2 linked regions of the Caenorhabditis elegans genome follow. The protein of the gene in region 1 binds, or shares a complex with, the protein of each later gene. Each region holds a gene or a part of one and is shown on either strand. Other genes may lie near its edges.

Region 1 (3,755 bases):
GTCCACTGCTCCTGAAAAAAATCTGTTGACGTTTCTATTTTCTCTTTTTTTTGCAACAAGTTGCTTCATGCAAACTAATAGGCGGAATACACCAAAGCTTTGAGAGTGACCTACTTTTCTATGACACGGCCACGCATCGTTGGTCTGCCGATCGAAAGCACAAATGCACATATCATTATCGCCCGATGGCTTTTCAGTGGATCTTTCTTCACATTCATTGGAACCGTCTTCCTCGTCGCACTCACAAGCCGAGTTCGCTGGTTCAAATGTTCCCTTCTCGCCAGCTCCTCTCTTTTTTCTTTTTGCTTGGATAGTTATTCCATTCATATCATATTCGGTTTCCTCCTCTTCTTCCAATGCTTCCGAGCTGCTATCACCAGCTTTTTTCATAACACTTTTGAATACACCAAGCTAAAAAAATATGAATAGAGGGGAAAACTCTCGGGAAAACAGAAACTCACGATTTTACTAATACTGTCATGTGATCTGATGACACTATCTTTGTACGGGTTCAAATTGCAAAGAGTAATTGCAGGAAAGGGCGCTGAAAAAAACGGAAACTAAAAACTTACACCTGGAATATTTTGAAAATGGTATCGTATTGTATTGCAGTTAAAAACAGTGACATGATATTATTATAAGCACGGAAACAAAAAACTTAAAGTAAAAGTTATAAAGGTGAAAAATGCGTTACTACTATTTTCAAAACACTTTTTAAGATCGTATTGAAGAACTCAGAAACCACTCGCCTGTGTCAAACTTCAATTGTATATCCGTGATTTTATCCATCTTCTGATACTTCTGAATCACAGCGACCGCCTGATTGATAAATTGTATAGCACAGATTAGAAGCAAGAATACCCATGCAGCTCTGGAAAAAGGTTTTATGGGTTGGTTTACTGTCAAACACAAAAAAATATTGTTAGATAATTTTGTTTAAAGGAGAAGTAAGTGTTTTTGTTTATTATTTTTTATTTTTCTTCAATGATCTTTTGATTAAATAAACTAAACACTTTTATTATGACCGTTGAAAACTTTAAAAATAGCTAACAGCTGGTTTTTTTTTCATATCTCTGCTGTTTCTTAAGATGAAGCTCCCTCCCAATATGCCTATTACCTGTATAAACTGTTTGGAGCTTGCCCAAGCATTGGAATACCATGACTAGATGTTTTATAGCAAAACTGTTGTAAATGCCATCTTATTCTTTCTCTGAAAAATTAGTATGAAATCACAAATAATCGAAGAAAAAGACAAACCTGTAAGATAATCTTGTCGGGTCAATTTCAATACCACCGTTTTCTGTCAGAAGATCGCACTGAATTTCTTTTTCGTGTGCATTATTGCTTTCTCCGTAAGCATAAGATGTCATAATTTCCGCAACATTCAGAAAGTTAGTGTCACTTGCGAGATAATTTGAAAAATCGGTTTTGAAACTTCTGAGCGAACGCAAATCTGTTTCATCTTGAAATCGACTGCGACTACGAGGATTTGGTTGAAATTTTGACATTCGCGGGTTTCGATTCATTTTTTGAATTTTGTACAAATAACAGAATCAACGGACGTTTTCTAAGAACCGAGTGAAGCGCTTGGACCAATTCGACAAAACGAATGCATTTGTAAGTGGGACTCATTTTCCCATAATCGGATGTTTTGTGCACGTTTCTCAGCTATGCATGACTTCCCCATCCCAAAAAATTCCTTCATTCTATCGTTGTGATAGTTCATAGATGAACTTTAATGTTCTCATCGAATCGTGTGTTTCATCGAAAAGTAAGACGAGATGGTGCGTCAAAAGTCACGCAAAACGGAAATTTACCTGATAACAGCACCACGTACCGACCGATTATACTGTTACAGAATAGCTGTTTGCACATTTCGCAAGACGAGAGATGACAAAATATCGATAGAAGTGTAGCTAGTGAGCACAAAGATAATACGTGATTATCATGTGGACTTGATGTATGGAAATTTCTTTAAATTATGTTTACTTTCTTAAGAGGACTTTTAATCATTGACAATTTTCTCGCAATGGTCGAATAGAACAAAAAAAACCAACACAATGCCTGAAGAGAAATAATTGCATCATCATATTTTAACTTTTCAGTGTTTTATTAATTTGAGCCCATAAAAATTGATTGGTTGCTGAAATATAATTGGTATGGGATTGCTCAGTCGGCACTGGTGGCCGTGAGCAACTGAATATGGGTTCCCAGTTCAAGTGCTGCATTCCGACAAGTTCACCTAGACCGAACTGGGAAGCGAAGCAATCCAAAACTGGATTTCAGTCTCAAGTTTGGACGTGGCTTAATTTAAAACACCGTGGGAGCGCCCCAACAATATTACCAGATTTCCACTTTTGCAGGGTATAGCTTGAGCGAGGATTGTCTTTTAATCCTTTTTATGAAAATTGTTCTATTAACTTTGAATACAAAACATATGTTTTATTAGCTCCTAGTGGAGCGAGACAAATACATAGAAGTGACAAAACAATAGATGCTGCGAGACTAAATTTTGAATGCGCATTGTTTTGATCTTTGACGAAACCATGATTTGTTACTTACTTGCTTAGTTACTTAGACGATCCGTTCTTCAGGAATTCGTGGTATTCCTGCGGATCACAGCAAGCCATTCTTTTCGGTCCTTGGCTATAGTGGACCATGGGGTGATGACTTCTCCGTCTGCGTCCCGAGTCGTGATCTCCTTTCGCAGCGAATCAGTTCATCGCATCGGCGGTCTTCCAACAGGCCTTTTCCAGTTCCAGGGGCGCCATTCTGTCATCAGCGTGGTCCATCTTCCGTCTTTCTTTCTCGCAACGTGTCCAGCCCATCCTAGCTTCCTCTTTTTCACGAAATTGAGCGGATCTCTTACTTGAGACATTTCACGAATATCTTCTCGATGAAGATCTCATTCTCGTTGTTGAATGAGTGTGATTCCCACAAGCCGTCTTTCTAGGGAGGCATGTGTGATTCTTACTCGTTCGGATAGAGCTTTGGTGAATGTCCAGGCTTCTGAACCATAGGTGAGAGCGGGAAGGACGATTGAATTATTGCTTTTAAAAGAGAAGTAGCGATTCTGGGTTTTTGTTCTAATTAACATGATTGAACCAAATTTCACCAAATTTCAGAACCAGACTGCTTCAGAAAATTTTCAACAAAACTTTTACGGTGGTTCGACATGTCATGACTAATAGTAAGAGCTGTAAAACTTTCAGTTGTTTTTCTTTTTTTTAAGAAGTTTGATAGAAAAATAGCCGGATCTTAACTAATTTGCTTGAAAACATTTCGAAAAAATTTGAAAAGCTATTTATGGTTTAGTACTTCAAATATACAACACAATGAAGTCAACTATTTATATACTATTGATTTAATGTTAAGTGACTTTGATTCCTGTTTTAGCTCAAAATACGTGCGATGTGTTGTGAGATATTGCAATTACTGCTCACTCATTCCCTTACATATTATCCAAATGAAAGAAAAAGTTGAGCAATGGCAAACTACATATTTTCTTTGAAAAATAAAACAAATTGTACTAAACTAGCTAATTTTGCAAATAACTCAAAGATTGAAAGATCAACATATTACAAATTATTAGGAGTTTTGATTTTAATCTAGTAGTATTGTTTTAATTTTAATATGCACATAAGAAGTAAAGATAAAAAATACAAAAAAAAAGTTTTGTTGAACAAAACGTTCTACTGTATATTTTACATTCAGCAACGCTTTTCACAAAATACTTTTGAAGTACTGTCCAAGTT
Region 2 (3,755 bases), 2.9 Mb from region 1:
GTTTTATTCATCAAATCCTCGCTCGACATTCACTTACACTCTTACTTTTAATGCAGAGTAAGCTTCTGCTATTCTTGATTGCGTGATGGCCATAGAAGTCGCTTTCGAGGCAAAGTCGGAAATCTGTGTGTTGAGAAGAAAAGGAAGAATGAGTTAATGAGGGCTAGGAAAAGTGAGACGAGAGCTCGAAATTCCTGAGAGCACCTAAAAGCGTCCACCCAAAGAGTGTTAACGTTATGTTTCCCATTTTGCAAAATTGTCAGATACTTCAAGTACTTTCAACTTTTTCAATAAGCCCCCGCAACGACAAGGTTGATTCAATTGGTGTGCATCCTTTTTTCATAACACATACACACATGAAATACATCTTCCATACGTTATGTGTATTTGCAAAAAAAACGCTTCACACCGGAATGACACGTTTCCGCACTCTCAGTTAGCAACAACTGGAGTGTGTTCAAAACAAAAAAAAACGAGAATTCGCAACCAATCTGAAGATGAAAACGGCTAGTTCAAATGGCTTTGTGCATTCGTCATAGTTGTTTCTCAAAACACTCCCAATGGTTTTATGATACTTAAAAATATAATGAAAAAATCTCAAGTTTCACATAATCCATCTTTGTGTCTTTTTTCGAAAGTTATTCTTGACGATGGCGTGGGAAACATATAAACAATACAACAAGAAGTCAGAAGGAGGAGGATATAGTCAGGAGGAGGAGGAGTGAAAAAGAGCATTTAATGAAAATGCAGTGAATCGTAAAGGACTAGATGTTGTAAATTGTGTGTCTAGTTTAATTTTTTACACGAGGAATTCATGAATAAGAAATATAATACAAAGTAAGAAATATGGAAAATTCGAACTAACAAAAAAGGGTATACTGACAATTTTGATAACAGTTGTCAAAAAAGGACCATATGCAAAAAAATACGTTTCGTAAATAGTTGTTTGTTTTGAAAATAGGGGTTATTAAAATGTTATGGCTAAATATCATAGTAAAACAAACTTATACTCTAAAATTAAAACAAAACATTTCTTCGATACATTTTATTTCTATCTTTATTTTGAATTGAGTTTTGGAAATTGTGGAAATTAAGCTGTATGTTTATTTTTGGGTTTTTTAAACTTTAAAATTTATTTTCCATTTTCCGCCTTCAATCCAATCATACATTTATATTTTAGAACACATTTTTAAAAGTAGGTCGTATCATCCAAAAATGTATCAAATTTTTTAAAACCATTTTTTGTTGCAAATTTAAAAATCATAAAGAATTTGGATAATTGCATAATCATTTTTTAAAGAGTTTTTTACAGCACTCTGTCCCTTTGACCCATTTTCTTTAATTTCATACAACCTAAAATTATCATAGTTTTCCCCAAGAGGTAACATTGAAAGTTAGGAATTTTCATAAACAAATTGCGTTAACGTGAGGAATCTGATAAGAAACGTGGACTACTTTTAATTACAAATTTAGAGAGTGTTGAGAGTTTCAGAAGAGTTACAGAAGAGTTATTTCAGCCACCATTATGTATCTCATGATTAAATGTATTTCTAATAATAGTTATTTAAAACTATATCATTTGAAATTAATTTACGGCTTCGAAGCGTTTCGATTTTCAAGAAAATTTTCAGCTTCCCAGGTTTCCCGTTCACTGTTTCCATTCGCCTTTTCCCGCCTGACCTTTTTCCCAAGAAACTACTATTCTAAAGTCCGACCTAACATATGCATATAAGTCCTACTATTCAAGTTTCTGGCAACTTCAAGATCCCAAAACGAAAATGTTCTCGAAACTCTTGCATTACAATGGACAAGTCACGCCAGAGACAATAGGCTAGTAGCAAGTTCTTCGCTGCACTGTTACCCCTAACTGTTTTCTTTGCATTTGTAATCAGGGACGTCATATACCAATTGGAGCAGAGTCGTCTTCTTTTTGGGGTGTGAGCCCGGCTTGCTCAACGAAATCCATACATTCGAGAGTACATCCCACTATTCGCCGAGTGTTTATGTGTCATTCGTGAATCGTGTCCCAGTAGTCTGTGACTGAATGCCCACACATTCAATCTATGAGCGCCACAATGTCATCAGCTCGCAATTCGGTCGTTTCACTATCTTCAAACGGCTCTGTCAAGGTCGAGACTCGATTGGTTAGCAACGAACGGAGCTCTAGTATTCAACAGGAGGGCGCCATGCTCCCATCATCCAGCTCCAAAGACGATGATCTCTTATCAACGTCATCGGACGAAGTTGAGAATATGGCGACCAGGACTTTACAGCAACTTGAAGAGGTGTGTGTCTATTAAATTTTTTGGTTTCCGGATTATCGTATTTGTTTCCGCTGTAGAGTACATCAATCATCTCGGCCAACAGCGACGATGACTCGGTGAAAAAAGAAAAGCAAGCTGAAAAGGATGTGGAGAAAGGAAATGGAAAAGAGGAAAAAGGTAGAAACTACAATCTTTGTCACTTATTTGATTGAATTAGTCATACATATGTAGAAACTCGTGCTTTCATTTGTTAAGTGACAACTTTAAGGTTCAAAATGCTGCTTTACTCTAAAAAAATGTTCGAAATTGTTTAAAATTGTGACACGCTGTTGTTAAAGCTTTAACAACTTATTCAATTATTTAAATTTCTGAAAACTGATGTAAAATACAGTATTTTATTGGGTCATATCTTAGTTGTCCTTTGTTATATCTTTGAAAAAAAGTCAAATGACGAATGCTGTGTTGTTTCTATTTTCATTGTTCTGTAGTTAATCATTTAGTGGTATTCTCACAATGAACCTAAATTTAATTTTTCAAAATAAAACAGTGAAGTGCAATACAAATAGAGGAAATGCGGTTAGCCGACAAGTAATGCTTAAATGTAATTCGAGTTAACCTTGGTACCGATTTGTCTCACAAGTTTCTGGTTATATATACTTCGGTAATATTCTTTATCATTTAAACGTTTGAATGCGCCAGTGGAATTGTGAAATACTACTGGTAAATAAAAACCAACCAAATATAATAATAAAACGTTTCAGTTTTTGAAAATGTTTTATAGACAGTCAAAAAGTGGCGATTTCTGAGTTCATGCTACATTTTGAAAATGCTAAAAATCCCTTGTTTGGCGAGACCCAAGCGCCTACATAGAATACGGCAAAGTTTCTCACCTTTCGACTTCTACATAATATGAAAATTCATTATTTTTAACAGTCAAGTTCAACACAGGCTGGCTCATAATTTTCAATGATCCTGTTTTTTTCTGATCTCTATTTCTTGTCGTATACATGTCGTCGTGCTTCGCCAATTCTCATGATGAAATTCAATAACAAATTCTGATTACTAGTTGTAACACCTCCAATTCTGGTTTTCCTTTGTTTTTTTTCTTGTAGCAAGTTGAGTTGTTTGATATAACTGAGTTCTTAAATCTTATAAACGAAAATTAAGAAATCAGTACTAATAACTAGAAACTATATATTGAAGAAATTGGAGATGTTGTAACATTACGCGTTTGTCGTTCCTACAAAACAAAAAAAATAGCAACAGACTTTCTTAAGCTTAAGGCTTAAGGTGAATTAACAATTAACTACGTTGAACTCAACGATTCTCGAATCTGGTTGAAAACAGCAAATTTACCGACTCATTAATAGTAATTGAATATCAGTACGATTGTTTACTACTTATAAAAAATGGCAGCACCGGTTAGACGTTCCTTTTAAGTGTCATTCTTTCAAATTATCGTGAACTTCCCTTTTATTATCCTGCTCGCAC

Evidence for each region. Proteins that work in one complex are often made in the same cells at the same time.
Region 2: mec-10 (region 1) and mec-2 share a complex: the UniProt entries of both Caenorhabditis elegans proteins name them as parts of the non-voltage-gated amiloride-sensitive cation channel complex.

Annotation. Positions count from the first base shown.
Region 1 is NC_003284.9:8,468,715-8,472,469, forward strand, and holds the start of mec-10 (Degenerin mec-10), read right to left. Parts: upstream 1,601-3,755; 5' UTR 1,527-1,600; coding exon 1,258-1,526; intron 1,211-1,257; coding exon 1,118-1,210; intron 872-1,117; coding exon 750-871; intron 545-749; coding exon 462-544; intron 412-461; coding exon 115-411; intron 12-114; coding exon 1-11. UniProt on the Caenorhabditis elegans protein: Subunit of an amiloride-sensitive cation channel (degenerin channel complex) permeable for sodium, potassium, lithium and N-methylglucamine, and required for mechanosensory transduction (touch sensitivity).
Region 2 is NC_003284.9:5,573,906-5,577,660, forward strand, and holds the start of mec-2 (Band 7 domain-containing protein), read left to right. Parts: upstream 1-2,063; coding exon 2,064-2,285; intron 2,286-2,341; coding exon 2,342-2,441; intron 2,442-3,755. UniProt on the Caenorhabditis elegans protein: Subunit of an amiloride-sensitive cation channel (degenerin channel complex) permeable for sodium, potassium, lithium and N-methylglucamine, and required for mechanosensory transduction (touch sensitivity).